Linked DNA regions of Callithrix jacchus. The protein of the gene in region 4 interacts with the protein of the main gene of each other region in a biochemical or structural test. Links are inferred from orthologs where the notes say so. Each region holds a gene or a part of one and is shown on either strand. Other genes may lie near its edges. The genes, in order: CTNND1, JUP, CCNB1 and CDH1.

Region 1 (7,814 bases), on a different chromosome or scaffold from region 4:
ATTAAAATTATTATATAGGGCAGAGTTCTGTGCCATGATTATTCTAGTTCTAAAATAAACTAAAACAGCCAGGTACAGTGACTGATGCCTGTAATCCCAGCATTTTGGAGGCCAAGGCAGGAGGATCATTTAAAGCCAGGAGTTCAAGACAAGCCAAGTTCAAGAAACACTGCAAGACCCTCATCTCTACAAAAAAAACTTAAAAAAAAAATTAGCTGGGAATGGTGGTGCATACCTGTGGTCCCAGCTAATTTGGGGGGCTGAGGTAGGAGGATTGCTTAAGCCCAGGAGTTCAAGGCTGCAGTTAGCTGTGTTTGTGCCACTGCACTCCAGCCTAGGTGACAAAGTGACATCTTGTCTCAAAAATAAAATAAGCCTGGGGGAGGTGGCTCATGCCTATAATCCCAGCACTTTGGGAGGCTAAGGCAGGTGGATCAACTGAGGTCAGGAGTTCCATACCAGCCTGACCAATATGGTGAAACCCTGTCTCTACTAAAAATACAAAAATTAGCCAGGTTTGGTGGCATGCACCTGTAGTCCCAGCTACTCGGGAAGATAAGATAGGAGAATTCCTTGAACCCAGGAGGCGGAGGTTGCAGTAAGCCAAGATCAAGCCTGCACTCCAGCCTGGGCGGCAGAATGAGACTCTGTCTCAAAAATAAATAAATAAACAAACAAATAAATAAATAATAAAGTAAAATAAAATAGACTAAAACTATAAATGCCAAGGAGAAGAAATTTTAAAAATTCAACTTCAAAAACCCTTCTGCTTGCTATCCAAATGTTACATAAAAAGAAAAAGAAAAAAAACCCACTGCTTATCCATAAAAAGAAAAACAAAATATTTTTACTCCTTTCTACCCTCTGGTGGTTACATATTACAATCCGAAGTTTGTCATTTTTGAAGCCCTGTATATGATAGCCATTTACCAATCCCTTTAGAAGTTCTTTTTTTTTCTTTTTTTTTTTTGAGACAGAGTCTTGCTCTGTCACTCAGACTGGAGTGTAGTGTTATGATGTCAGCTCACTGCAACCTCTGCCTACTGAGCTCACGCAATTCTCCTGCCTCATTCTCCCAGGTAGCTGAGATTATAGGCATTCACCACCATGCCTGGCTAATTTTTTTATTGTTAGTAGAGACGGGGTTTTGCCATGTTGGCCAGGCTGGTCTAGAGCTCCTGGGCTCAAGTGATCTGCCTGCCTGAGCCTCCCTAAGGGCTGGGATTATAGGCATGAGCCACCATGACCTGTCCAATCTTAAAAAATTCTACCAACACAAGATTTAACTAAAATGATGTTAGATTGAAAAAATAAGAAGTCCTCTCCACTTCTTGAAAATTAATTTAATCCTGATGGCAATATATTAATGAGAATATATACATTTATAATTACCTTACATCTCCACAGAATCATCTATACTGCTACTCTACCTGCCCAATCAAGTCCTGATTCTATGGTAACAGATGCCATAAACAAGGGTTGTTCTGCCTTCTCTTTTGTTTTCTTTGCTTGTTTACTTGTGTGTGTTTGTTGTGCTATTGTTGCTGCTGCTGCCAACATCTAAAATCTTTCCTCCTTCTGCTAATTTTTATGTCCTTTCACAAACTGCTTCTTCTTCAAAGTCAGACAACATCAACCAAAAATGTTTTCTGTTCCTTGTTTCTTTCTCCACCTCAACACCAGCAGCCTCAGTCTAGGGGAAATAGTACCTGACTTGGAAATGCATTCCCCACACCACAATTTCAGTCAACAACCTCAAATCCTTTTTGAAAGGGTGTTAGATATCAATAAGGACATTTGGTGTGACCTCAACGTTTTGTCCCTTTGCACATTGCCCTTCTCTTAGCATCTTTCTTCCTTTCTACCTCCAGTTGGCCTCGGCAGGAGCTGGTCCATTTCAATTCACTGTACTTTGTCACCAGTGGCTTTAGATTCAGCTATTCTTGTCCAGAACTGGACATCACAGAGCATCTAATGAGGGCAATAACTGAAGCCAGGGCCCAGGTCCTAACACACACAGGGGAAAGAAAAAACTGCTGTCCATAATTATACCATGGGTTGGCATTCTCTGTAAACATTTAATCTTGAGATAATTAGGCCAGGCATAGTGGCTCACATCTGTAATCCCAGCACTTTGGGAAGCTGAGGCAGGCAGATCACCTGAGGTCAGGAGTTTGAGACCAGCCTGACCAACATGGTGAAACCGTGTCTCTACTAAAAATATAAAAATTAAAAAATATATACAAAAATTAGCCAGGCGTGGTGGCAAGTGCCTGTAATCCCAGCTTCTTGGGAGGCTGAGGCTTGAGAATTGCTTAAACCCAGGAGCCAGAGGTTACAGTGAGTCAAGGTCATGCCACTGCACACCAGCCTGGGCAACAGAGCAAGGCTCTGTCTCAAAAAAAAAAAAAAAAAAAAAAAAAACTTGAGCTAATTTAATTTTTAATATCCCTGAAAACAGCTAACTCCAGTCAGAAACTGGGCTAAATAAATTGGGCCAGGCTCAGTAGCTCATGCCTGTAATCCCAGTACTTTGGGAGAATGAGGTGGGAGGATCAATTGAGCCCAGGAGTTTGAGGCCAGCCTGGGCAACATAGGGATACCCTATCTCTATTTTAAAAAAGAAAAGAAGAAACAGAAAGAGAGAATGAGAAAGAAAGAGAGAAAGAGAAAGAAGGGGAGAGAAAGAAAAAGAGAGAGAGAAAGGAGAGAAAGAAAAAGGAAAGAAGAAAAAAGGAAAGAAAAGAGGCAGAGAGAAAGAAGAAAAAGAGGAAGGAAGGAAGGAGGGAAGGAAGGAAAGAAAAAAGAGAATAAGAGAAAGGAGGGGGTGAGGAAGGGAAGAAGGAAGGAAGGAAGGAGAAGGGAAGGAGGGAGGGGAGGAAAAAAGAAGAATAAAAAGAATATCAGTCTGAGCACGGTGGCTCACGCCTCTAATCCCAGCACTTTGGGAGGCCAAGGTGGGTTGATCACCTGAGGTCAGGAGTTTGTGACCAGCCTGGCCAACATGGTGAAACCCCATCTCTACTAAAAATACAAAAATTAGCTGGGTATGGTGGCAGGCGCCTGTAATACCAGTTACTTGAGAGGCTGAAGCAGGAGGATCACTCGAACACGGAGGTGGAAGTTGCAGCGAGCAGAGATGGTACCACTACACTCCAGCCTGGGTGACAAGAGCCAAACTCCATCAAAAAATTAAAAGGAAAGAATAAAGAAAGAAAGAAAATCAGCCAGACGTGGTGGCACTCACTTGTAGTCCCAGCTATTCAGAAGGCTGAGATGGAAGGATTGCTGGAGCTCCAGAGGTCGAGGCTGCAGTGAGCTGAGATCGCACCACAGCCTGGGCAATATTAATTAACTGTTGTTGTTGTTTTTTCCTGAGACTGAGTCTCGCTCTGTTGCCCAGGCTGGAGTGCAGTGGTGCGATCTCAGCTCACTGCAACCTCCGCCTCCCAGGTTCAAACGATTCTCCTGCCTCAGCCTCCCAAGTAGCTTGGCTTACAGGCGCAAGCCACCAGGCCTGGCTAATTTTTTGTATTTTTAGTAGAGATGGGGTTTCACTATGTTGGCCAGGCTGGTCTTTAACTCCTGACCTGGCGATCCACCCGCCTCCGCCTCTCAAAATGTTGGGATTACAGGCGTCAGCCACCACGCCAGCCTAATGCATTTTTTTAATCGTCTCTGTAATGATAATGGAGATTATTTTTTAAAAAATCGTCTCTGTAAGGATAATGCAGATCATTCCGGGGGGAATTTCTGCAAAACCCCTGGGTCACTAGTTCTCCAAGATTTGGGGGTGAAGAAACTGAATTCAGATACTGCCCAAGGACCTTATTCCAGAACATCTCCAGTTATAGGAGATAGCTAGGTTAGCGAAGTGGGAGATCCGGTGTTAGCAAAGCCATCCAGAGACTTCCTCCACGAAGCCTGGAGGGTTCCCAGCAGGGCCAAGGCCATCTGCTGCCTCTTCAAGGGGAAGACAGACATGCCCTGTAACCGCATTGGTGCCTGCTTTGCTACAGCATCCCTACCCTCTTTTTCGGTGTGTCTTCATCGAGTGCTGAGGGAGACGACGGCTTCCACAAGAATTCCTCCCCGGCGGGCCTTTCCCCCCGCCTCTTGCAGCCCAGCCATCTTCCCTCAGCCCTCAAGTCCCTCGAGAGTTAGACTCCCGCCCAAAGCGCTCCTTCTGCTCTGATTGGTTCTCCCCGAAGCCTTCGGCCAATGGGGATGACGTATTCCGGGGGACGTAGGCCCGAGGGCTCGGGAGGAGGAGGGGCGTCGGGCTCAGCGACGCGCCGGGAGCGAGGGTGGTGGCACGAGGTGTGTGCCGCTGGCCGCTTGGCCCCACAACCCTCGCTATCACCACCACTCGGTGCATGTGGGTGCGGAGCCCGCAGAGATACAAGAGCGCCAAGGGCCGCCTGCAAAGCCGGTGCTGTCGGAGGTGGCCGTAACGGGAAGTCCTGAATTTGGGCCTCCGGGATCCCCACACTGCATTCCCAGAATCCCTCGCGCCTAGAAGTCTTTCTTCAAAGGAGTTGGGCCAGGGCGTCCAAGCGTGCGGGGCACCCCGCTGTGCAGGGCTCTGCCTGAAGTCCTGTTTTCTCCGCCAACACCGATTCCCTTGCTTCTGGACAGGGAGGTGAAGCACTCAGCTACTGGCCCACCTGTGCTTCTTTGCTCAGCCTTTGGACTCAAGCTTGGACACTGAGGAAGCAAAGCAGACTGGACAGAGGACAAGCACAGGGCGGACAACAGGAGCAAAGGACTGCAAAGCTATTCCAGGTTGGGTCTCGGGGCAAGGCCGGGCGCTCGTGGATGGGAAGCTTCCCCAGGGCCCTTGCAAGAGCTGCCATCCTCCATCCCCATCTCTCTTACTGGGATGGGGATTGATTGAGCCTGCCTTCTCTTTTTCATCCACATCTGTCTTCTGGAATTGAGCCTGTATACAGTGTGTGTGTGTGTGTGTGTGTGTGTGTGTGTGTGTGTGTGAAAGAGCGAGCGAGAGGGAGTGTGTGTGAGAGTGAGAGTCTCAGGCTGGAGTGCAATGGTTCTATCTCGGCTCACTGCAACCTCCGCCTTCCAGGTTCAAGCGATTCTCCTGCCTCAGCCGCCTGAATAGCTGCGATTACAGGCGCGTGCCACCATGTCGGGCTGATTTTTGCGTTTTTGTAGAGATGGGGTTTCACCACGTTGGCCAGGCTGGTCTCAAACTCCTAACCTCAGGTTATCCGTCCGCCTCGGCCTCTCAAAGTGCTGGGATTACAGGCATGAGCCACCGCGCCAAGCCGGAGGCTGTCTTGTCTTAATTTACCTTTTCACTCTTCTTTCCTGATAGTTTTGACGTGAATTGTTCGGACCCTCAGTGCCACCTGATAGAAAACGGCATTCCAGGAAAGGAACACAGCTGTGCAGTGAGTGTGGGGGTTTCGGTGCTAAAAAGCTGGACATGGGCCGGGCGCGGTGGCTCAAGCCTGTAATCTCAGCACTTTGGGAGGCCGAGGCGGGTGGATCATGACGTCAAGAGATCGAGACCATCCTGGTCAACATGGTGAAACCGTTTCTACTAAGAATACAAAAAATTAGCTGGGCATGGTGGCGCGTGCCTGTAATCCCAGCTACTCAGGAGGCTGAGGCAGGAGAATTGCCTGAACCCAGGAGGTGGAGGTTGCGGTGAGCTGAGATTGCACCATTGCACTCCAGCCTGGGTAAGGAGCGAAACTCCGTCTCAAAAAAAAAGCTGGACATAAGCCTTAAGTCAGAATACTCAGTTTGTTTTGGAAGGGGGAAAATGCTTAACTCTCCTTGCTCCATTGGTAGCCTGGTAATTAACTATACAAACCTAAAGGCCAAATTCTTTGCCTACTGCGAGGGTCAGTCAGGCTCGCTTTGGTCAAGTACACCCAGCCGTGGTTCTGTGAGAGACCTTCTGGCAGAGTCAGAGGCTTCCCTTCTTTATTGTGCACCCTCTGCTGGTGTGATAGAGTGAGCTCAGAGAAAAGAAGAAGGTGCATACAACTTATTAGACATGATTTTATACCCACTATTGTTTCCTTAAAAGTGTTAAATTGAAGATGATACCCATGGAGCTGGGATGTGGTGCTCAGGAAGAATACGAGTAGTCAGCATTGTAGCAGTTGAGTCTCAGTGGTAATGGAAATGAGGAAGCCTGAAGGATAATAATAGCTGTACCATTTAGGACATGGTAGTTATTTTGTGCCAGGCACTTACTGTGCTAAGCAATTTTACCTTCATTGACTCATTTATTGTTTAACAACCCTACAAGGTAAGTACTATTATTCCCATTTCATGGATAGGAAAGTGAGACTCAAGAGAAATTAGGTCACCTGTGTGAGATTATACAGCCAGGCTAATAAATAGAGCCAAGACCCAAGCCTAGGTTTATCTCTGAGCTCCCACATGTAACCACTCTGATAATGTTCTTTCTTGAGATATCCTTGGCACAATTTCTGGGCTGGTTTCCTCAACTATATTATAATAGATACCATTTTCTCTTACTTTCAAATTTCCCCTGCCATTTAAAAGACAAAAAACAAATTACATATAACCGTGCCTCTGAAATGTCTTATCTCACCTACAGGAGTCTGACTTGTGAAAACCTAGAAGGTTAAGAGTCTGCCAACATGTACTCTCCTGCCAGTCCCAAAATCCTATACAGGAACCCTCGGTTCCTCAGGTTAGCTTTTCTGCAGCTTCATAACCAGCAGCAGAGTGGTGTGTTCTGTGATGTCCTTCTGCAGGCAGAAGGTAAGAGACTGGTGGGAATTCATCTGAAAACTCACCATAGACTAAGATAAAATGAGTTCAGGGCCAGAGGGTAAAGGACAGAATCAGCAAAACGTTACTGCCTTTGACCACTGTAAACTATTTGGTAAAGGGCTGTTTGTTTCTAGGACAATTACTACGGTTTTCAAGCGTGAAATTGTGACTGTACTTCTCTTAAATAATGAATCTAATTGTAAAGTTTTATAAGCAGATAAGATCTATATAACATGGAGCATATTCTAATGGGATGGTTGTGAAGATTAACATGTTAAGTACTTAGAACACTACTTTTAATACATAACTTACATATTGTGGTAAGTTTTAATACACTTACCACAATATGTGTTAGATGATACTATTCTGTTTTCTTTTTTCCTTTTTTTTCTGAGAGTCTTACTGTCTTGCCCAGGCAGGAGTGCGGGACACAATCACAGTTTCCTGCAACCTCTGTCTCCCAGGTTCAAGTGATTCTCATGCCTCAGCCTTCTGAGTAGCTAGATTACAGGCGTGCACCACTATGCCCAGCTAATTTTTGTATTTTTAGTAGAGATGAGGTTTTACCATGATGGTCAGGCTGGTCTCAAACTCCTGGCCTCAAGTGATCCACCCATTTCAGCTTCCCAAAGTGCTGGGATTACAAGCGTGAGCTACCACATCTGGCCTCATTTTCCCATTTTCTTGTCAAGGTATTAATTTTTTAAATCTTCAGACTGATGATTTTTATTGTTTGATCCTGGAACCAAAAATGTATAGCTTATTTCCACCCCTTTACTTCACACTGGAAATGTTAATTCAGCATGAAGTAGACCCTAATATATAATGTTCAAGGCCCTAGATTAGGAGTCACAGTTTACTAAGTAGATCCTGATATATAATGTACAAGGCCCAAGACTCAGAGACAGTTAGTAACTGTCAAATGGGCAGGTAACTTCCTCTCTCTGGGGCTCAATTTCTTCATTTATAAAAAAGGATTGTGATCACCAGTATTGTATAGCACTCTACAGCTTGTGGAATACATACAATATAGT
Region 2 (8,071 bases), on a different chromosome or scaffold from region 4:
TGGCAGAGAAAGTCGCCGCACAAGGAGATACTCCATGTCCACAGATTCAACCACGTCCCAGGAGAGGCCTCTCAGTGTCACTTGCGGAACACAAGCCCTGGTGGCCTGCCCAGCCACACTGCTTTTCCTCTTCACAGGGGTCATGGGGCCAGCTCACAGATGCTTCTCCCTCTCACTGCCAGGCTGCTCTTCCCGCAAAAGATTCAAGATAAGGAGTCTCCCCAAAGGGCGGTGATTCCTGCCTGGCCTCCCTGCCAGACAGGACGGCCCTCATCAGAGAAGAGTCAATGCTGCGCCTCCGCCTCTCCCTCTTACCCCTCAACTCAAGATCTGTCTGTAGAAGGCAGAAAGCCCTTCCTCCCATCTAGGCTTCGTCCCTTCTGTAAGAGCATCGTGCTGTAGCTCTCATGTCCTCAGGGGAGGCGGAAACCTGCAACCTCATGCCCTCTCGGTAGCAGTCAGTCAGCAGGACAGGGTGCATTCTCTTTTCCTCTGTCTCAAGTCCCATTAGCCTTCTCCACAATCAATCATCCCCAGGCCCAGGGTCCCCACCTGCCCTCATGGGATGCAGAATGGTAGTGGCAAGCTTGGTACTCCGGCTGCACCATCACATAAAGAGAACCCATTTCCCAGACCCCAAATCCACGCCCATTCTGGTGTCAGATGTCCAGCTGGCAGCAACGCCAGAACCAGGCAGGTCTGGAGGACAATCTGACACCAGCTCCTCCCTAGAGGGCCAAGGCTCTGGCTGACAGGCAGCACGCATGCCCCCTACCTCCATCACCAGAAAGGCCCTCCCGGCAGCTGCCTATCTCAGGTCTCTTGGGCTCCAGAGCAGAGGACAGCCAGTTCCCCGTCAAGAGCAGCCTGGCAGCACTGCCTGGCCCACTCCAGCAGGGCATTAGCCCAGGCCTAAATCAGACTCCCGTTTCTCTCCACTCCCCACAGAGCAGCACCCCGTTATCTTGGCACAACCCCAGCCTCCAGCAAAGCAGGCAACTCCCACCTCTTACACAGGGACAAGCCCAAAACACCCATGGTTCTACCTAAGTCAAGCTAGGAGGCAGCACAGCTTTGACCCCGGCCTCCTGTTTCCTGCTCAACCTCCTCCCAACACTCACCACAGCCCTGCCTTACGGAGAAGCCTCCTCCACTGGGAACTAAAGATCAAGCCACTGGGGAGGTTTCAGAGGGCTGCTGGCCGGGACAGGTATCACTCGTGCCTACCAAACCTGCCCTACATTCACCAGCCACATTCTTTATTCTCTTCTCAGCCAGAGGCTCTCAAAAGGGAGTGCAGAAACTTCCACTCACACCTGTAATCCCAGCACTTTGGGAAGCTGAGGCAGATGGATCACCTGAGGCCAGGAGTTCGAGACCAGCCTGCCCAACGTGGCAAAACCCTGTCTCTACTAAAAATACAAAAAATTAGCCAGCCATGGTGGCCCGAGCCTATAATCCCTGCTACTTGGGAGGCTGAGGCAGGACAGTCACTTGAACCCGGGAGGTGGAGGTTGCAGTGAGCCGAGATTGCACAACTGCACTTCAGACTGGTGACAGAGCGGATTCCATCTCAAGAAAAAAAAATCCTTTTCAGAGCTACATGAGGCAATACGGCAGGATGGGTTCTGGGCTTGGAATCAGGGCCCAAATGCCAGTCTTGGTGCTGCTTGGGTCTCACTGTACGACCCTGGGCAAATTACTTAAGTTCCCTGAGTTTCAATTTCCTCATCTGTAGAATGGGGATAATGATACCCGCTTCTTTTTTTCTGAGACAGAGGCTCACTCTGTAGCCCAGGCTGGAGTACGGTGACACAGCTCACTGCAGCCTTGAGCTCCCTGGACTCAGGTAATACTCCCACCTCAGCCTTCCCAGTAGCCGGGACCACAGGCTTGCACCACCATGCCCAGTTAATTTTTCTATTTTTTGTAGAGACAGGGTTTTGCCATGTTGCCCAGGCTGGTCTGGAACTCCTGGGCTCAAGCAACCTGCCCCTCTGGGCCTCCTAAAGTGCTGGGATTACAGGTTTGAGCCATCGAGCCTGGGCAGCCTTAAGTTTGAAGTGAGACTAGCTAATGAAAGTGCTTGGTTTCTGTAAAGTCTTACCTTGATCTTGAGTTACCATTTGTCAAGTACTTACAGGGCAGATAGGTATTAGTATTCCCATTTTGACAAAGAGGTCACTGAGGCTCAGGTAATGGAATGAGGGACAGAGGTGGGTCTCAAACCCAGCTCAGTTCAAGCCCAAAGCCCTGTGCTCAGAACTGCCCCACCATCCCATCTCTCCAAATAAACAGTCCTTCTGTAGACTAGTCAATGGACCGATCTCATCCTAAAGTGGCTCCAGGAAGGGAAAAAGGCTGGCAGCCCTAGCCTGTCTTTTCTTGTTCCTATGCACTGAATTCTCAAAGCCTCAGCCCTGGCATTCCAAACAGAAGTTCCAGAGGGAATGGGGTGGAGCCAGGGTGCAGGGGAGGGGTGGAGTGGGTTCGGGAGGGCTCAAGTCACCCAAGCTGGGCTCCATCTAGCAAGAAATGACTAACTGGATCCTATCTTCTCCTCCTCCCCCGCGCCCCCAGTCCAGTCAGTGGCCAGTTTTCACCAGGCATCTCCTAGCAGTACTTCCTCAGTAGTATCTTTTCATCATAGCCACAAACCAGATTAGCTAAACTAATCATTTAGCCAACACAATTACAATGCCCTCCCCTCCTCCACCTTGGCACGGAGAAGAGGGAAAGCAGGTTATTTTTGCCCAAACTCCGTGCCCTGTTGCTCCCCAGAGGCAGGCAGCACCCCTTTCCCCAGCAGAAAAGGATCTGAGTTCCCACACTGGCTTCCCCCTGGTCCAGGGCTGTGCATGATCCCCACCCAGGACAAAGGGGCTGAGTCTGGCCCCCCAGCCTCAATCCCCCATCTACAGCAAAGAAAGAGGTGGCAGGCTCTTCCCCTCCAAGCACTCTCGATCCCCAGTTCTGCAATCTTTCTCCCACCCCCAGGACTGAGAGAGAACCCAACTCTTATATTCCCTCTCTGTTCCCAAGGCTGGGCTCCAAATCCTGCAAAATGACCGCACTTAGGACTTTTTAAAACCAGGGTAGAAAGCCTGGTGACGACCCCCAATTCTGGAGGCGGGGTCTCAGGAAATTGGGAGTAGGGAAGGAGGTGGGGGCGGTGGGGGGGGGCATTCACCTCTCCTGAGGGAGTCTAACATTGAAGAAACCTTCCCCTCCAAAAGCCTTTCTCCAGTCTCACTTTCCCTGTCAAATTCTTTCAGGAAAGGGGATAGGAAAGGTCTGCCCAGGCCTCCAGAAAGCATGCACCTTCATAATTCAGAAATCAAATGGAAGGCAAGCCCCACAGCCTCATGCTCTTCTGCCTCAATTACCAGCCAGCTAAGTAATGTGGGGGATGGGGTAGAGAAAAAAAAAAGACAAGAACATCCATTCCCCCCACCTTCCTAGCTTGGCCCAGCCCTGCCCCACCCCCATTCCTGGGGAGGGGGCAGAGCTTGAGAAAGAGCCACTCACGCAGGCCATGTCTGAGGGGGTGTGGTGGTCCCCGGAGGCAGGAAGAGAAAGAGAAGGAAGAAGCTGCTTCCCCTCTCGGCCCTTTCCACCCACCCCACCCCGGCCCCCACCTCAGGCCCCTGGGGCGCAGCTAACAGGATGGATGTGGGGGCAGGGAAGCCAGGGTCAGAGCGCAGGCAAAGGCCCAGGTTCAGCCGGGGGCCGGCTGGGGGAGGGGACTTTGCACCAAGAAGGACCTCCTAAGCCTAAAGGAAGTTCTGGGCAAGGAGACGGGAAAACCCCCAGAGAACGCTGCTGTGAATACTTCCTCCTGCAAAGTTTGTTTTGGGTGATTTTTCCAACAATAAGAGGTTAGAAAAGAAGACGATTCCTGTTCCCCTACCAACACTCTGGCAGCCACAGCTACTGGAAACTGGGCCAGGTGACCCTGAATGCTTCACTCGTGCACAGACCCCTCCCCCCAGACCGAGCCACGGGTGCCAAACACCAGCTGGACACTGGGCCGAGCCGTGCACCAGCCCCCACTGTCACTCCATCCCACCTCTGCTGGAGAAGCCAGAGCCGGGCACCCACTGGAGTGGAGGGAGGCGCCGCAGGTAGTATCGACGAGGCTCCGGGAGCTGGAGGGCTGGGCCTCTGGACTCCGTGCGCTCACCTGCTCGGCAGGTGGGGCCAGCGTCACTGGGAAAATGTGCGCTCGGCCCCCACAGTTGGGCAAGCTGGGCGCAGACAATAGGGCCCCACCCAGGCCTGGGGGAGTAGAGAGGGAGGGAAAGCGAGGATGACGCGTGGGGTGGGGTGAGGGTGGCCCCAAAGAGACCAGCGGCAGCAAGTTTCCCAAACGGTAAATTACTGACTGCAGCGAGAGCCCTGGGACGCAGTCAAAGCAGGGCAAAGTCTCCCCCTCCAGCTCAGGACGAGAGTCAGGGACGCGGCGTCGGGCGAGCTGTGCGGGCCCCGGGAGGGGCGCGACCCCCGAGGCATCTGCCCGGAGCCCTCCCGCCCTGCTCAGATCTCCCGCTCGCGGAGCTCCTAAGCGCGCTCGGCCCGAACCGCGCGCCCCCCCAGTCGCCGCGCCCAGGACCCCAGCGCGCCCCCTGCTGCCAGTGCAGGGTGGCGCTCCATGGCACCCGCCCTCACCTGCCCAGAGACTGCTGGGACCGGCCCCGCGGCCGCTCGCCACCCCTTCTCTCCCCATCGATACCTGTCCTCGATCGCCCGCACCTGAGTCTGGGGCCTGGCCGGCCGGGTAGAAATCGGGCCGGGGTGGGAGCCGGCGCGGACAGCGAACTGAACTCGGCGCGCTCGGGCGGCGGCTGCTCCGGACTCTGGCCAAGGCAGCAACTCAGTAACCGAACAAAAGGCGAAGAGACCTGACAGCCAAGCCACGCCCCTCGCCACCTCGAAACTCCGCCCCTGGGGGAGACGCCCACCCGCTGATGCGAGCTCACTGGCTGTCTCGCCTGACTGTCCCGTCAAGGGGTGGAGCCTCGCGTCCAGTCCTTCTCCACGGCCGCCTCTGTTTATCCGCTTGCCATTGGCCCCAGGGACTGCCAGTCGGCTCTAGGGATGGACTCTAACTTGAGATCTCATCCTAACACTTCACCAATTGGCAGATAGAAAGTTACTTTCTCCTGATTGGGCAAGGGACTGTCAGTAAGACTAAGGAAAAAAACCAATGGAAGGTATGGGGTGTGTCTTGCCCCACCCTTGCTCTGAGCAGGTGAGACTCACTACTCTCCCCTTCCCCCTACCTGTCCAACAGGTAAGTCAGGGGATACCAAGGGAAGGGACAGACGCCTTCACCAGCCAGCCAACTCAGCGTCAGGCATGATGCTTCTTTGGGCTTATTCATCCTTGCCCCAAAGTGGTAATAACATATTTGTATGGCATTTCATAGGCTTTGTGCTGGGTTGGGATTTTTTTCCCCAAAGATGGAGTACTTCTGGGATTCAGAATTAGAAGGCCAGGGTTTGTGTTTTGCCGCTTACTATGACCTTAGACAAGTTACTTCACCCTTCCCGCTGTTTCTCCTCATCTGTAAACTGGGTACATTAGCCATATCTACCTCACTGGAGTATGTGGGGATTAAATGAAGTCAGGTTTGTGGAAGCACTCAGAAACTGATAAAGATTAGAATTTAAATTAATGGTATGGGTTTTTTGTTTTCGTTTTTCTTTTTTAATTCTCGTGACAGCTCTGAAAAATAGGACTAGAAAATGATCCTCATCGTAAAGATGAAGAAACCGAGGTTCAGAGAAATCACAAAACTACAAAGTGACACACCCCAAGCTAGAACCACCTTCCTCTCATTTGAAGGACCACCAAATCAGCTGTTCCCCTCATGGAAGAAGAGCATAGACATAAAATGTCAAGGCAGTGGGGAAGGGGCAGAGAAAAGGCACAAGATAGAGACAAGATAGAAAAATTGGAGGTGAGATAGAACAACTGCTTGGCCCAAAAATACAGTATTGGTGTCAGGAGGCTTTGGTGGGCTTGGAAACATCAAGCTGCAGATCTGAAGGAAATCCAGCCCTAGCATGAAAGAAACAGGGCAGGCGGGGTGCACTGGCTCACGCCTGTAATCCCAGCACATTGGGAAGCCGAGGCGGGTGGATCACCTGAGGTCGAGAGTTTGAGACCAGCCTGGCCAATATGGTGAAACCCCGTCTCTACTAAAAATAGAAGTTAGGCTTTCATGGTGGCAGGCACCTGTAATCCCAGTTGCTTGGGAGGCAGAGGCAGGAGAATTGCTTGAACTTGGGAGGCAAAGGTTGCAGTGAGCCAAGATCCTGCCACTGCACTCTAGCCTGGGCATGACAGAGCAAGGCTCCATCTCAAACCAAGGAAAAAAGAAACTGGGCAGCATACCCCTCCACGGTGGGAGAGCCTGGAGTAGAGATCAGAAAGAATTTCTCAGCCAGGTGTGGTGGTTTGTGCCTGTAATCCTAGCACTTTGGGAGGCCAAGGTGGGCAGATCACTTGAGGTCAGGAGTTTGAGACCAGCCTGGGCAGTGTGGTGAAACCCTGTCTCTATTAAAAATACAAAAATTAGCCAGGATGGTGGTGGGCACCTGTAATCCCAGCATTTGGGAGGCAGACACAAGCAGATCACCTGAGGTCAGGAGTTCGAGACCAGCCTGGCCAACATGGTGAAACACTGTCTCTGCTAAAAATACAAAAATTAGCCCGGTGTGGCAGTGGGCATCTATAATCCCAGCTACTCAGGAGGCTGAGGCAGGAGAATCGCTTGAACCCAGGAGGCAGAGGTTGCAATGAGCCAAGATCATGCCATTGCACTCTAACCTGGTGACAGAGTGAGACTCTGTCTCAAAAAAATAAGAACTTCTCATAGGCAGCTTAAGAAGACAAGGACACTTCCTTTCTGTAGTTGATGATGTGAATCCTGCTTATGCTGCTGGTGGCTGTATGGTGTGTCAAGGGCCCTACAAACATTCCTTCATTCAGCACTTGAGTATTGAGTGTCAACTGTATGTTAGGCACTGGTGAATACAGAAAGTAAAACCTGGTGACACAGAAAATAAAAATCTCAACCTTCACTGAGCTCATAGAATGATATGCAGAAGGAGCCTGTGGGTGGGTGCTGGGGGAATGGTGGTTTAGAAAAGGGTCCCCCATTTGGGCCGGGCGCGGTGGCTCACGCCTGTAATCCCAGCTACTCGGGAGGCTGAGGCAGGAGAATTGCCTGAACCCAGAAGGCGGAGGTTGCGGTGAGCTGAGATCGCGCCATTGCACTCCCGCCTGGGTAAACAAGAGCGAAACTCCATCTCGGGGCGGGGGGGGAAAGAAAGAAAAGAAAAGGGTCCCCCATCAACAAAGCTCTACAGCCTCAAAGCTAGCACACAGGATGGGCTGGATGAAGGTACCTTAGCAGCATCCTTGACCATTTTCCCCACTGGAGAAAGGACTGGCAGCTGAATATTCTCCCTTCTGAAGTCACGCCATCCAAGAGCAGGGCCAGGGACATATGGACATCCCTGGACTAGTGGCCATCCCATACCCAGAGCCACTGCCCTTTGCTTGTTTCCCCAACTTCCCCTCCTCTAGCTTACCTCCCTATCTTTATCCCTGCCTTACCCCTGCCCCATCCACCTGCTTGTCACCCTGTCACATAGAGCTGTGGCCAGGCCACAGCTGGGGAGAGAAAGGGCTCACAATCCTGAACTGCTGAAGCTGCCGGGGTTTCATTTCTTCCCCCTCCTGCCCATCTCCCACCTTCCCATTTCCACACAGGCACACAAACATACTTCCCGGCCCCAAGCCTGGCCTAACTCCTTCCCATTTCTCCTGACCTCAGCAAACAGGCAGGGTAGGGCTGGTTGACTGCAGAGAGGGGTGGAGGAGCCCATGTGGGTGGAGGAGCAGAAGTAACGCTTCAGAATAAAGCCTGCGCTGTGTGTGTGTGTGTGTGTGTGTGTGTGTGTCCCCAGAACATGTTGCAACACACCAGCCCCAGAGCTAAACACACAGGTTGGGACTGGTGGAGGCACTACCACAGCAGCAGCAAAGACTGGGATTAGAG
Region 3 (8,102 bases), on a different chromosome or scaffold from region 4:
TTTAGGAAGATCAATAGTAGTATCCATGCTAACTTTGAACTTGACAACACAGAGTGGCAAACAGACTTCGTCGTAGGTTTAGTGACTTTTTATTTTAGGTATTCCAAGAGGGAGAATTTGAAAGTGCAATCTACTCTTAAGAAATGCTGCCCACATCCTGCTTGAATTATTATAAACTATTGATAGAAAATACTTTCATAAAGTTAGAAGCAGTTTAGAAAAAGAAAAAAAACAACAACAAATGATAATACTGACCTCAAGTTGTCTCAGATAAGCATAAATATCTTTCACATATTCACTACAAAGGTTTGGATCCACTCCATCTTCTGCATCCACATCATTTACTGCAAGAATTACATCAGAGAAAGCCTGACATAGGTCTTCTTCTGCAGGGGCACATCCAGATGTTTCCATTGGGCTTAGAGAGGGAGTGTCAACCTTGAAACAAAGAGATCTCTTGAAACAATAGCAAATAGGAGTAAGCACTATAGTTAAGGTCAGTTTATTGGTTTCAACTTTAGATAGTATTCTGCTGAAATGACATACAAATTATTTCCTGAAAGGAAAGTATCTTTTCAGATTTATTCCATTTCTTTTTAGAAAGTGAGTAACATCAAAAGAGATCATTTGGGTTGGGTGCAGTGGCTCACATCTTTAATCCCAGCACTTTGAGAAGCTGAGGTTGAGGCTAGGAGTTCAAGACCAGCCTGGGCAATATAGCAAGACCCTGTCTCTGTCAAAAAAAAAAAAAAAAAAAAGTCTTCATTTAATTGCTCAAATAAAAAGAATGAGGTCGGGTATAGTGGCTCAAGCCTGTAATCCCAGTAATTTTGGTGGCTGAGGTGGGAGGATACTTTGAGACCAGAGTTCCAGACTAGCCTGGGCCACATTGCAAGAACTCATCTCTACAACAAAATGTTTAAATTATATGGGCATCAGGGTGAAGGCAGTTGCCTGTAGTCCTAGCTACTCAGGAGGCCAAAGCAGGAGATCACTTGAGCCCAGGAGTTTGAGGATACAGCGAGCTATGACTACACCACTCTACTCCAGCCTGGGCAAAAAAAAAAAAAGAGTGAAATGCCAACTTAAAGTCAGTTTAAAGTTGGAAGCCAATGAATTCACATCTAGACTTCCCTCCAAAGGAAACTGAGAATTAATTAATCTTTATGAGCAAAATGTGAAGTTAATCCAAATAAATGATAATTCAGTCTTTAGTCTTTATTTCAAAATATAAACTGCTTCTCACTACTCAAAAGAACACAAATTCTGTCCTGACTAGTAAAGATTAACTAACTCCATCACCATTAACCATTTCCTTTGAACTCCCTTTATCCCACTGTTCAAAAATGTATTAAGCGCCTTCTTCAAGTCAAACTCTGCAAGGCATTGACTTCATTGCATCCTCAAGGGCTCTTAATTTAATAGACAAAGTTAAGTAAAGAAATAAGACTGGCTGGGCACAGTGGCTCATGGCTTCTCAAAGTGAGGGCGGATCATATGAGGTTGGGAGTTTGAGGCCAACCTGACCAACATGGAGAAACTCTGTCTCTACTAAAAATACAAAAATTAGCCGGGTGTGGTGGCACATGCCTGTAATCACAGCTACTTGGGAGGCTGAGGCAGGATAATTGCTTGAACCCGGGAGGTGGAAGTTGCAGTGAACCAAGATCACACCATTGTATTCCAGCCTGGGCAACAAGAGTGAAACTCCTTCTCAAAATAAGACTGAGTCTGGGGGTGGTGGCTCATCCCTGTAATCCCAGCACTTTCGGAGGCCGGGGCAGGTGGATCACCTGAGGAGTTTGAGACCAGCCTGACCAACATGGTGAAACCCCATCCCTTAAAAAAAAAAAAAAAAGAAAGCCTGCCTTTACTAAAAATGCAAAAAATTAGCTGGGCATGGTGGCACGTGCCTGTAGTCCCAGCTACACGGGAAGCTGAGGCAGGAGAATCGCTTGAACCTGGGAGACGGAGGTTGCGGTGAGCTGAGATTGGGAGACGGAGGTTGCGGTGAGCTGAGATCGCGCCACTGGACTTTAGCCTAGGCAACAGACTGAGATTCCAACTCAAAAAAAAAAAAAGATGGATTCTAGGAACAGGGGTGGAGATGGGGGAAGTTAGGGAAAGCTTCAGGAGTTGATGCTTGAGCTGTTTTCAAGGATGAAAAGGTTATTAGCTAAATGAAAGACAGGGTGGGGAAGGCATCCTTACTAAGTGGGAAAGCAAAGGTAAGAATCAATATGGGCCTTTCAAGAAAGCCTCATGTAGTTTGATATGCCCAGTTAGACTGTGCTGGCTACATGTTTCATGTACTATGACCAGAAATTCAACACTAAAGCAATATCTTTCAATCTTTTATCCTTAGATATAAGAAGCTAAACTGGCCAGGCTCAAGCTAAATGGTGGCTCACGCCTGTAATCCCAGCACTTTGGGAGGCCAAGGTGGGTGGATCACTTGAGGTCAGGAGTTCAAGACTAGCCTGGCCAACATGGTGAAACCCCATCTCTACTAAAAATACAAAAACTGGCTGGGCACGGTGGCTCACGCACTTTGGGAGGCCGAGGCAGGTGGATCACGAGGTCAAGAGATCAAGACTACCCTGGTCAACATGGTAAAACCCTGTCTCTACTAAAAATACAAAAAATTAGCTGGGCATGGTGCCGTGTGCCTGTAATCCCAGCTACTTGGGAGGCTGAGGCAGGAAAATTGCTTGAACTTGGGAGAAAGAGGTTGCAATGAGCCGAGATTGTGCCACTGCACTCCAGCCTGGGCAACAGAGTGAGACTGCCGTCTCAAAAAAATTTTTTTCCAAGCCAGGCGTGGTGGCTCATGCCTGTAATCCCAGCACTTTGGGAGGCTGAGGTGGGCGGATCACCTGAGCTCAGGAGTTCGAGACCAGCCTGACCAATATGGTAAAACCCTATCTTAAAAAAAAATTTTTTTTCAGGTAATTTTCTTAACTGGTTTTAACTAAGTTTAAAACAAACAGAGCTTCAAAATGCAGTTCATTGCAATTTCAAAGCATCCTCCTCTACATGACCTACCTTTCCTTCACAGGATAGGACACCTTTACACATTTGATATTTAATATAAAGTTATTGGTCTTGAGCCTAAATCTTTTTTTCTTTTCTAAAACATCCTGTTATAACATTTTTTTTTCTTTGAGGCTAAATGTTAATTCATCTTCTTAACCACTCCCTGAAGAGTTGCATTCTTCCTGTTTTATTCATTTACATATTCCAATGTTACGGGCTTATTATTTAGTAGCCATATTAGGCAGTTAAAAAAAAAAATTCAGGCCGGGCACTGTGGCTCACGCCTGTAATCCCAGCAGTTTGGGAGGTTGAGGCGGGCGGATCACCTGAAGCCAGGAGTTCAAGACCAGCCTGACCAACATGGTGAAATCCTGTCTCAAAAAAAAAAAAAAAAAAATTCAAGAGAATATTCTATGTTTATGAGGATAAATTCTGCGAGATAGCTTGTTCTTGGACAATAAAACCTTTGGTTCAGGCAGCTACTACTTAATATCATTAACAAAGAAAGTAATATAAGAAAGTCGTAACAAAAGCATAGATTCTGAAGTCAGACAGCCTGAGCTTGAATCCCATATGAGCCACTTACCTGTGTGATCCTGACATAACCTTTCTAAAGCCATGACCTAAATAGTAGAGGTGATAATATCTACCTCAGAGAGTACATGTAAAGATTACGTGAGTTACTGCATGTAAAATGTTAGGCAGAGCTTGCCTCATGCTAGGCACTCAATAAATGATATTAATATTACTATTTATTTGAATGTTCTTGCATGTGTCAGTGAAATAAGGGACAGAAGAAATAACAAGACTCTACAATGTTAAGAATAAGTTTACCAAAATAGGCTCAGGCGAAAGTTTTTCTTCTTTAACAGGCTCAGGTTCTGGCTCTGGCACTGGCTGGGACACCGGCACTGGCCCCAGCATAGGTACCTTTTCCAGAGGTTTTGGTAGTTTTTTAGCAATAACTTTTCCAGTAGCTGAAGGTTTTCCCTCCTGTGTAGATGAAACAGAGAGAATGGAATATTTCTGCATCAAGGACCACAGCTGGAAGGCGGGCTCTTACATTAGTTAGGTCAGGAAGAGGGCTACCTTTTTCATAGGCATTTTGGTCTGTAGCTGTTCACTGACTTTGTTACCAATGTCCCCAAGAGCTGTTCTTGGCCTCAGTCCGGGCTTGGAGGTTGCAGCAGGGGCCATAGGCACGCGCTTTGCGCCTGCCATACTGATCTTCGTCGTATTTTCAGCATTTATTTTCGAGTTCTGAAAGAAGCAAGACTACTTTAAGAGCTGGTCCACGGAAGCTCGAGTAAGTCAAGGGTTAATTAAGGTGGGGCACAAGAGAGGTTCCCAGAAGGAAAGCCGACTAAATATGGGTTCCAAGGGAAAACGTGGGTCCCAGAGTGTACTCTGCGGCCGTGACAAGTCAATTTCCACCGAGAACCTCTACATTTACCGATAGAGGGATTTCCTAATTAGTCCTCGCCAGCCCTAAAATACTGAGAATTTACATTTGAAAGGAAACCGAAAAAGCCTCCAGTTGCTGATTCCATCTCTCTGGAAAGTGGGTTACGCAGTTGCTGGCGGGCCCACTCAGGAACCCTCCATAACTTTTTCAAAAGGTTCCTAGACTCTCCACCTCCCCCAAACATTTATCCAATGTCCGTCCAGGTCTCTTTCTCACCTTCCTCCCTCCGTCCATCGTCCCCCACACCCCCCACCAGGCCTGGGCCCACCTCGGTTCTCTTGGTGACTCCCCTCCCACCTTCCTCCCCAAATCTCTCCTGAAGCCCTCTCCCGCTCGGGGGGCTCCAGCAGGCAGCTGCGAGGAAGGCCGCGTTAGTTCGCAGTCCGCAACGGCTCACCCTGGTGACTCGGAGCGCCATGGCTTCCTCTTCACCAGGCAGCAGCTCAGCGGAAAGAAGCAGAACACCGGAGTCCCGACCAGCCGAGGACCTGAACCCACCAGAAACCAACAACCGTTCCTCCGCAGCAGGCCGGGAAGAGCCGGCCTAACCTAAAGTTTAAACCCCGCACTGCTCCCTCCTTATTGGCCTGTTCGTGGCACTCGCTAACTTCCCATTGGCGGCTGCCGCTCCCGGAGAATGCGTTTCCAGGGCGATCCCGAGATTGCATTCGAGAGGGGCGGGGTCAGAGTGACGCTAAGGCCGGAAGGCGTGGCCAGGTTCTCACGTTGTCTGCCTCCGCGCCTGCGCTCTCGGGCAGCTGCCGCGGTCACCTGGAGAGCCTAGCAACGCGTGCGCCGCCTACCTGGAAAGCGGGGGCGCGGGGGGGGGTGCGCTGCCCGTGCCAGATCTGGGAAAGCCTGGTGGCCTTTGGAAGGTGACAGTGGCGCGCGGCCACAGTCTCAGAAGTGTCCAAAGTAGTTTTGGATCTAGTCCAAATTATTGTTACACACTTTCCATTTCTACGGTAGCAGCAATAATATAGTTCATGAAAGGCTTTGATATACGTTCTTTCATTTGATAGTTGCAACAACTCTATGGAGTGGAGGAACTGAAGCTCAGCGGCTTAGATGACTTTGCCAGGATCACACATTAGCAAGCGAAGAACTGAATTTAGGGGTTTTTTGAGGGGAGGGAGGATGGGTATTCGTATTATTTTTGCAACACTGGTTGTCCCTTAAGAATGTCACCTTCCAATCATGAGGTCAGGAGATTGAGACCATCCTGGCTAACACAGTGAAACCTTGTCTTTACTAAAAATGCAAATATTAGCCGGGCATGGTGGCAGTTTCCCATAGTCTCAGCTACTCGGGAGGCTGAGACAGGAGAATAGCTTGAACCCAGGAGGTGGGGGTTGCAGTGAGCTGAGATCGCGCCACTGCACTCCAAGCTGGGCGACAGAGTGAGACTCTGTCTCAAATAAAAAAAATAATAATAATTTAAAAAGTCACCTCCCAGCTTCTACTTACTTGATTACTTCAAGACTGGCCAGTTTCCCAAGGCCAATTGTTTTGTTTGTTTTAGCTTTCTATTTGGAAATAATATCATACTTAGACCAGTTGCCAACAAAAATCTTGTAAGGAACATTTCTATATCCTTTACACAGATTCACCCATCCTTAACCTGTATTTGCCTCTCATGAGAAGATCAGGAAAAACAAAATAAAATACATTTAATCCCATTTGCTTTGTCATTTGCTCAATTTCTCTCTGGATCCAAAGAAAAACAAGAGGGTCCTTTTTGCCTTCTACCCCTCAAAACACACCAGGAGCTCAGCAACTGGAGGAGAGGCTAGAGGACAAAAAGATTGATATTTCATAGAGCAATGGTCTAAGAGCCAATAGAGACTCCTGGCTCTGGAAGTCAAGGATCCAGAAGAAGGCACTCAATCATTTGGTTTCGTTGATCGTTATTCAGTCTTCTGTCATCATAGTTCTCCCCTCCTACTTGGATGCCGGCCAGGGGGCCCTTACCTTTTCCTGGAGTGCCTGCCTCATCTTGCCCTCAAGCCCCTGGGTTCTATCTAGCTAATTCCCATTCATCCTTCAGTTCTGTGTTCAACATCCATCCTCAGTCTTTCTGGGATTGATCAGTCCTCTCTGTGTTCCAGTTTTAAAAATAATTTTTACTTTTATATGCTTTATTTTTTTAGAGAACTTTTAGGTTCACAGCAAAATTGAATAGAAAATATAGAGCATTTCACCGCCTTCCCCACTATTGACATCCCACGTTAGAGTTGAACTTTTATTATAATCTGTTAACCTACATTGACACCACATTATTACCCAAAGCCCATAGTTTACATTAAGGTTCACTCTTGGTATTGTGTGTTCTATGGGTTTTGACAAATATATAATGACATTGATGACATATCTAACATTGTAGTATCATACAGAAGTTTCATTATCCTGGCCAGGCAAGGTGGCTCATGCCTGTAATCCTAGCACTTTGGAAGACTGAGGCAGGTGGATTGAGCCCAGGAGTTCAAGACCAGCCTGGCCAACATGGTGAAACCCCGTCAGGAAATCAGCTGGGCATGGTGGTGGGCACCTGTAGTCCCAGCTACTCAAGAGGCTGAGGCAGGAGGATGGCTTGAGCCCAGGAGGTGGAGGTTGCAGTGAGCTGAGTTTGCACCACTGCACTCCTGCCTGGGCGACAGAGCAAGACTCCATCTCAAAAAAAAAAAGAAGAAGAAGAAGAAAAGAAGTTTCACTATCCTAAAAGTCCCCTAGGCTCCACCTATTCAAGCCTCTCTCCTTTTAGACCCTTGCAACCACTGATCTTTTTAGTGCCTCTATAGTTTTGTCCTTTCCAGAATGTCATATTGAGATCATACAATATGTAGTCATGTGTAGTCTTTTCAGAATGGTTTCTTTCCTTTTCTTTTTTCTTTTGGAGACAGAATCTCACTCACCCATGCTGGAGTGGTGCAATGGTGTGATCTTGGCTCACTGCAGCCTCCACCTGCCAGGTTCAAGCAATTCTCCTGCTTCAGCCTCCCAAGTAGCTGGGACTACAGGCACATACCACCATACTCAGCTAATTTTTTTGTATTTTTGTAGAGACAGGGTTTCGTCATGTTGGCCAGGCTGGTCTTGAACTCCTGAGCTGATGATCCATCTGCCTTGGCCTCCCAAAGTGCTGGGATTACAGGTGTGAGCCACTGTACCCAGCCTTAGACTTTTAAGACTCTGTCTCAAAAAAAAAAAAAAAAAAAATTAAGGGAACTGGCAATTGTCAATACTCTCACAGTTGATCCATATTGTGTTCGTGTTTTTGCAGAGATGAAGTCTTGCTATGTTTCCCATCCTGGTCTTGAATTCTGGCTCTCAAGAAAGCCTCTTGCATTGGCCTCCCAAAGTGTTGGGATGACAGGCATGAGCCACTGCACTGGGCCTGTATTATGTTCTTATTGACTAAATCCTTCTGAATTGATATTTAGTATACTTTTTCTGAATTAATATTTAGTATACTTTAACAGAGGATTCTCTGCTTCCTCCATTTTATTATTATTATTGTAGTATAATTGTAGTATTACTGTAGTATAATTATAGACAGGATTGTCTGCCATACTTGCTGAAAATCAACTACAGCCATTAAGTT
Region 4 (7,317 bases):
GTGTCTCATGCCAGTCATCCCAACACTTTGGGAAGCCAAGGCAGGAGGACTGGTTGAGCCCAAGAGTTTGAGACCAGCCCAGGCAACATGAGGAAACCCTGTTTCTACAAAAAAATACAAAAAATTAGCTGGGTGTGGTGGCTCAGGCCTGTGGTCCCAGCCACCCAGGGGGCTGAGGTGGGAGGATCACCTGAACCCTGGAAGTCAAGGCTGCAGTGAGCTGAGATTACTCCACTGCACTACAGCCTGGGCCACAGGGCGAGACCTTGCCAAAAAAAAGGAAAAAATCCCCTTAGAATGAATATACTAGTCAGTAATCACTATCCCAAAAGCAGAGCAGGCCACTCAAATGTAATTTGATTACGAAGTGGGCTGGCAGGGCTTATGTTACCGTGCGTAAGACAATGATGAATTAACCTAATCTCATGGCACAATAAAGCCATGTAAAGCCTGGCAGAATAAAAGTCCAGAAAGCTTGCTCGATTCTCAACAGCCACTATCCTTCTCTTCGACTTCGGGAGGACACCAGCAGGAAGGGGCAGAAGTAAATGGGATGCCCAGCAAACATTTCCGGAACATTGAAAGGCACCCTTTCCCGGAGTCCACTGAAGCAGCAGCAGCAAGATCAATGGCACCCATTCCCAACCTAAATTGAAAGCCCTCAATTTGGTCCCACTGCTCCCTGCAAAAATCTTTTTCCATTCCCATCAGCTTGGCCTGGTCTCTGCCCTCCAAGGAGTCTACTCAAGCCTCTGCTGTGCTTTGCTAGGAGAGGAACCTTCCTGAATATCCATCTACCCATTGGAATTCTACCAGCACCTGTGGCCTAACCACTTCCACCTTCCACGAGGCTCAATTCACAGCCTTTTCTGACTACAGTGACTACAAAGGCATTTATGAGCTGGACCACCCCTTATGGTCACTAATTACATATGATCTTTAAACATTTCTTTAAAAATTTTTTTTTAAATTAAAAAAATATATTTTTCATTTTTATCTTGTAGAGACAGGGTCTTGCTTTGTTGCCCAAGCTGGTGTCAAACTCCTGGCTTTAAGCAATCCTCCCACCTTGGCCTCCCAAAGTGTGAGCCACCATACCTGGTCAAAGGTTTCTAAGTGACTTGCTATCACTTGCATTGAGAATCATTCGCTTGCTCTTCTATCATTCACATATTTAAAGCCCTACCAGAGTTCTGATGTAGTGTTCTCCATATGGATACTTTGTCATATGATGCACATAATCTGTTTTCATAACTAACTTATTCCTTTAATAGATTCAGTATTTTCTGTGTGTGAATGACAAAAGAATTCGCCTTGACCATAACAGCACCTGTGTCACCCTGAGGGGTCACTGCAGGTGGGCTCCAAGGGAAACAGGTTTAAGGACTATGGCAGAATCTGCCAATTTTCCTCAGCATCCTTTTTCTCCTTTATCCTTTTAGTCATTGACACTCACTCATTGCTCACCCTACACCCATCCCTACTCCATGGCAATTTTCAATTGCAAGTAGAAGCTTCCAGGCTCCCTTGCAGCTAGGTGTGGCTCTGTTTGGGCCAATGGTATATAAGCGGAGGTGACATTGCCTCCAGTCGTGTGGCCTCCACTTCCTCTCTCATCCCCTTCCCCCTTCTAGGATGGAATATAGAGGTGGTGGTGGTGGTGAGCTGGCTAGCCTAGACCATGCTGGGGCAGCCCCCAAGGTCTTGCTACTCTGCCTATGGTCTAAGGAACTGCAACATCAGCACCCCCTGGGAGCTGGTTAGAAATGTGGAATCTGTGGCCCCACACCAGACCTCCTGGATCAGATTTCCCAGTTTACTAAGAGGCCCATGTGATTTGCATGCACTCAAGCTTGGGATGTACTGACTTGAAGGATGAAAATAAACATGATAGAAGAAACCTGGGTCCCCTATTGACTTCATGGCACAGGGTTGCCCTCCCTCCCATCTTAGACCATTTACCTCCAAACCATTTGGTAAGAGACAAACTTCTATTCAATGTAGGCCAGCATAGCCTGGAAGTCCCTTTCCTATATTGGCTAAAAACCATACCCTAACTAATATAAGAACAAATATCATTTGCAGGAAATAAACCTCCTCCATTTTTTTTTTTTTTTTTTTTTTGAGACGGAGTTTCGCTCTTGTTACCCAGGCTGGAGTGCAATGGCGCAATCTCGGCTCACCGCAACCTCCGCCCCCTGGGTTCAGGCAATTCTCCTGCCTCAGCCTCCTGAGTAGCTGGGATTACAGGCACGCGCCACCATGCCCAGCTAATTTTTTGTAATTTTTAGTAGAGACGGGGTTTCACCATGTTGACCAGGATGGTCTCGATCTCTTGACCTCGTGATCCACCCGCCTCGGCCTCCCAAAGTGCTGGGATTACAGGCTTGAGCCACCGCGCCCGGCCCCTCCTCCATTTTTTTTAAGTCAAAGGCTGAGCCACTTGCCAGCTGGACTTACTTAGCAAAGCAAGAATTCCTCCAAGAATCCCCAGGATGGCAGGAACTTGCAATCCTGCTTCGACATACTGTGCCTTTCGACAGACGTTGGCGGTCCCTTCACAGTCACATACGTGAACCTCTAAGGTGGTCACTTGGTCTTTATTCTGGTTATCCATGAGCTTGAGATTGATTTTGTACTCACCCACCTCTAAGTATATCTTTGGCTTCAAAATGAGAGATTCTTGGGCTGGGGGAAGCAATAAAAAGAAATGATGAGACCAGGAGGGAGAGAGAGAGAGGGAAAAAAGCTCGTTCCACAATAAAATTGTTAGTGACCTAAAGACATTTGCAAGCCGAGCAAAGAGAGCAGAGCTGCTTGGGTTTTAGTTAGGTATCTACTCTTTTTTTTTTGGCTGTAAAAAGCTTTATTTCCATTTGGTCTAAGGCTTGGTAGAGGGCTCTAGGGCAGGTTAAAAAGCTGACTAGTGGCTGGAGGGAGAGACTCAGGCAGAGAGTGGCTCTTCAGATTTGCTGGGCTCAGTAGGCTCCTGGTTGTGCCTTAGGGTGAACCTTTCAAAGAGGTACTCTCCCAGCCTGGGCTGGGGAATGGCCAGACTGCAGAGGTTGGTCAGGGGGTCACCTATCTTCCTGATGAGTTTCACTTCTTCATCAAGGAAGTGGCTCTCCAGGAAGTCACAGAGATGGAGGTCTGTGTGGATGAAACCCAGGGCATGAAGATCCAAAAGGCTCGGTTCAGGTTCTTCTTTAGGGCCAGAGCGACTTCCATTGTGTCCAGGGTTTTACCCCATTCATCTTTTTTTTTTTTTGGAGGCAGAGTCTCACTTTGTAACCCAGGCTGGAGTGTAATGGCATGATCTCTGCACACTGCAACCTCCGCCTCCCAGGTTCAAGTGATTCTTCTGCATCAGCCTCCTGAGTAACTGGGATTACAAGCATACACCACCACTCCCAGCTAATTTTTGTATTTTTAGTAGAGAGGGGTTTCACCATCTTGGCCAGGCTGTTCTCGAACTCCCAACCTCATGATCCACCCACCTAGGCCTCCCAAAGTGCTGGGATTACACATGTGAACCACTGTGCCCAGCCTACCCCATTCATCTTGACATGGCTTCTGGATGTTCTAGAGGACAGCATGGCCACCACACTGGTTTTGCGTTTATTTCAAGACATACTCAGCACCCTTGCGTTTCTCCTTGGCCAATTTGTGGAATAAGTGGCCCACGCCTTCCAGAGCCACATCATCACAGTGGAAATAGAAGCCCAGAGAGAGGTTGATGTAGGAGGCCCACAGATGCAAATTGACCAGGCAGTCGACAGCTGCCTCCACCTCGGTGGAATAGTTCTGACAATCTGGGAGTTCATGGTTCATCGGCAAGAAGGAGCTAACCACAAAAATGGCCTTGTTTCGTCCCAGGAGCGGGAGGTGGCAGAGAAGACAGTCCCGGAGATTGCAAGTGGAGAGGAGATTGGAGGGTGGTTAGAGGCTGGGAGAGGGAGCCCTGCTTGGGTTTTATATTACTGGGTAGCATGCTACAAAGCTAGATACCAAGAAAGGAAAGAGACCTTTGGAGTAAGGCCTCAAAGACAGAATGAACAAGGAAACAAGTATCAACAGAAGGGGTGGCATTTGGAAGTTGAGAAGAGAAACTGAGAGGTGGGGATCTGGGGGAAGGAAAGCATGGCAGTCACAGCACAGTTGCCAAAATAAAGCTCAGGTACTCGCTTGGGTCATTGTACTCAATGGTCCAGTTGGCACTCGCCCCATGTGTTAGTTCTGCCGTGAAGGGAGATGTATTGGGAGGAAGGTCTGCATCAATGATGTTGATGACTTGAGGCTCTGGATTCCTCTCGCAGAAGTACAAATTTCGGGGTTCTGGTATGGGGGCATTGTCATTCACATCAGACAGGATCAGCAGAAGCGTCCCTGTTCCAGTAGCAACTGGAGAACCTAAGAGAAAATACAGAGGAAATGTTACAGCTCAGAAACAGTCATGGATCCCCACTGCCTTCTACCAGACCCAATCCAGATCTTGTCCTAGCTCTTCAGTCGTCCCTCACCAGGCCCCACTCCATCCCCAGAACCTCCCATCCTACCAATCCCAGGGCACCTCCATTCCCAGGTGGGCAGGCCTCTGACCGTTTTACATAGACAAGCTTATTCCCACCTTGATAACCATTATTCAAGTTATTCCTCATACCAGGGACACCCTCCTCCTTCTTCACATGCCATTATTCATTCATTGAATTTTAACAGCTCCAAGAAATCATTACTGCCTGCTTGCTGTCTCCCTAGTTCTTTTTCTGCGCTTTCATGCCATTTAAGGTCATTACCAAAGCATTGAGTCTTTTATTTTTATTTTAAGCCACACTAGAAGTTTAAAATCAAAGGGGATAAGTTGGGTCTTTTTAAGTCTCTGCAAATTGGTTTTCAAAATAGATTTGGGAATTCATACACACTTTTTTTTTTAAGAGACAGGGTTTCACCATATTGGTCAGGCTGGTCTCAAACGCTGAACCTCAGGTGATTCACCCACCTCGGCCTCCCAAAGTGCTGGGATTACAGGCGTGAGCCACCATGCCCAACCTTTTTTTTCTTAAGGCAGGGTCTCACTCAGTCACCCAGGCTGGAATGTGGTGGCATGAACAGAGTTTACTGCAGCCTCTACCTCCTGGGCCTAATCTCTCACCTCTGCCTCCCTAGGAGCTGGGACTACAGGCGCATGCCACCATGCTTGGCTAGTTTTTAAACTTTTTTGTAGGGGTCGGGGGGTCTTGCCATGTTGTCGAGGCTGGTCTTGACCTCCTGGGCTCAAGTGATCCTCCTACCTTGGCCTCCTAAAGTACTGGGATTATAGGTGTGAGCCACTGCACTCAGCCCATCCACACTTCTGTTTGCATTTCTTTTATATCCTGACACAAAACCAAGCATATGGTAGTAGGAAAAATTGGTATCCAGGGAACTATCATCAAGATTAGTATACAACAGGGAAAGAAAACAATGGAGGAATCCATCTCAAACCTATAAATAGATATGTTTAGATGGCATCACTGTAAATTTTTAAAACTTTTTTTTCTCACATAAAATGTCTTTTCTTTTTGAGATGGAGTTTCACTCTTATTGCTCAGGCTGGAGTGTAACGGTGCGATCTCGGCACACTGCAACCTCTAAGCCTCCTGGGTTCAAGAAATTCTTCTGCCTCAGCTTCCCAAGTAGCTGGAATTATAGGCATGCACTGCCATGCCAGGCTAATTTTGTACTTTTAGTAGAGACTGAGTTTCTCCATGTTGGTCAGGCTGTTCTCGAACTCCTGACCTCAGGTGATCCACCTGCCTCAGCCTCCCAAAGTGCTGGGATTACAGGCGTGAGCTACCATGCCTGGCTAAATTTTTTTTTAAACAATGAGCACAAGTCATTTAACATTAACTTAAGGAGTCCAGGCATGATAACTCATACCTGTAATCCCAGCATTTTGAGATTATGGGCAGTATGTTGCCCAGGCTGGTCTTGAACTCCTGACCTCAAGCCATCTCCCACCTCAGACCCCCAAAGTGTTGGTATTACAGGTGTGAGCCTAGCACCCAGTCTATAAATGTATTTAAATACACAGAAACAGTCTGGAAGGACCCTCACCTAGTTCATTTCATCCAGATGGGTATTATCACTTTTCAGGTAAAGGAATTATGGGACACACAAATTAAACAGCAAATCCAAGGTCACACGACTATTAAGCTTTGGACCTAGAATGTAAACCATTGTTGTCTGCTTCCCTTAGGGTTTTGCCATGTTTCCCAGGCTGGTCTTGAACTCCTGGGCTCTAGTGATCCTCAGACCTCAGCCTCTCAAAGTGCTGGGATTACAGGTGTGAGCCACTGTGCCCAGCCCATTTGAATTTTTTGATAATAAGAATGCCTTTGTTTAAGAATAAAAGGAAAAACAAGGCCGGGTGCAGTGGTTCACAATTGTAATTCCAGCACTTTGGGAAGCCAAGATGGGCGGACCATGAGGTCAGGAGTTCGAGACCAGCCTGGTCAACATAATGAAAGCCTGTCTCTACTGAAAATACAAAAATTAGCTGGGTGTGTTGGCAGGTGCCTGCAATCCCAGCTATCTGGGAGGCTGAGGCAGAAGAATTGCTTGAACCCAGGAGGCGAAGGTTGCAGTGAGCTGAGATCGTGCCACTGCACTCCCAGTCTGCGTGACAGAGCTAGATTCTGTCTCAAAAATAAATAAATAAATAAAAATAAAAATAAACAAAAGAATCATCTTTTGCAGCAACAGGGATGAAACTGGAAGTCATTGTCTCAAGTGAAACAAGTCAGACATATAAGGAGAAATACTGTATGCTCTCACTTAGAAGTGGGAGTTCAATAATGTGTACACATAGATGTAGACTGTGTAATGACAGACAATGGCAGCTGGGAAGGGTGAGAGTGGGAGGGAGTAGATGATGAGCAATTACTTAATGGGTACAATGCATGTTATTTAGGTGATGGATATTCTAAAAGGCCTGGTTTTACCACTATACATCTCTGCATGTAACAAAATTACCCTTATACTCCATACCTTTATACAAATCAATTCAACAAACAAAAAGATAAAAGAAAAAGAATGAACTCTTGCCTCCCAAAGAAGAGAGAGGCAAGGAAGTGAACTAGCCAGGAGGGTGAGGCAGCAAAGGCCCACGTGGGGCCCCCTTACCATTATCTGTAGCTATGATGAGGGCTGTGTATGTGCTGTTCTTCACATGCTCTAAGTTCTCCCTGTCCAGCTCAGCCCGAGTGGAAATGGCACCAGTGTCCGGATTAATCTCCAGCCAATTGGCAGTGTCTCTCCAAATCCGATACCTGAATAGAC

The links.
Region 1: the proteins of CDH1 (region 4) and CTNND1 form a complex in vitro, tested with the Homo sapiens proteins (5 studies listed by BioGRID and IntAct, with this or other methods). The link is inferred for Callithrix jacchus from reciprocal best matches to the Homo sapiens genes CDH1 and CTNND1.
Region 2: the proteins of CDH1 (region 4) and JUP form a complex in vitro, tested with the Homo sapiens proteins (2 studies listed by BioGRID). The link is inferred for Callithrix jacchus from reciprocal best matches to the Homo sapiens genes CDH1 and JUP.
Region 3: of the proteins of CDH1 (region 4) and CCNB1, one has a biochemical effect on the other in vitro, tested with the Homo sapiens proteins (3 studies listed by BioGRID). The link is inferred for Callithrix jacchus from reciprocal best matches to the Homo sapiens genes CDH1 and CCNB1.

What each region holds. Positions count from the first base shown.
Region 1 is NC_133511.1:115,315,216-115,323,029, reverse strand, and holds the start of CTNND1 (catenin delta-1), read right to left. Parts: upstream 4,147-7,814; 5' UTR 4,029-4,146; intron 1-4,028. Other genes in the region: BTBD18 (BTB/POZ domain-containing protein 18), read left to right, coding at 6,645-6,768. UniProt on the Homo sapiens protein: Key regulator of cell-cell adhesion that associates with and regulates the cell adhesion properties of both C-, E- and N-cadherins, being critical for their surface stability.
Region 2 is NC_133506.1:91,453,517-91,461,587, reverse strand, and holds the start of JUP (junction plakoglobin), read right to left. Parts: upstream 4,583-8,071; 5' UTR 4,513-4,582; coding exon 4,386-4,512; exon of another isoform or gene 4,070-4,385; intron 1-4,069. UniProt on the Homo sapiens protein: Common junctional plaque protein. The membrane-associated plaques are architectural elements in an important strategic position to influence the arrangement and function of both the cytoskeleton and the cells within the tissue.
Region 3 is NC_133503.1:140,373,901-140,382,002, forward strand, and holds the start of CCNB1 (G2/mitotic-specific cyclin-B1), read right to left. Parts: upstream 5,052-8,102; 5' UTR 5,044-5,051; coding exon of another isoform or gene 4,920-5,043; coding exon 4,899-4,919; intron 4,297-4,898; coding exon 4,126-4,296; intron 4,030-4,125; coding exon 3,871-4,029; intron 439-3,870; coding exon 256-438; intron 1-255. Other genes in the region: uncharacterized protein LOC118151518, read left to right, coding at 4,918-5,043, 5,260-5,376. UniProt on the Homo sapiens protein: Essential for the control of the cell cycle at the G2/M (mitosis) transition.
Region 4 is NC_133521.1:26,354,671-26,361,987, reverse strand, and holds part of CDH1 (cadherin-1), read right to left. Parts: intron 7,308-7,317; coding exon 7,162-7,307; intron 4,411-7,161; coding exon 4,186-4,410; intron 2,689-4,185; coding exon 2,461-2,688; intron 1-2,460.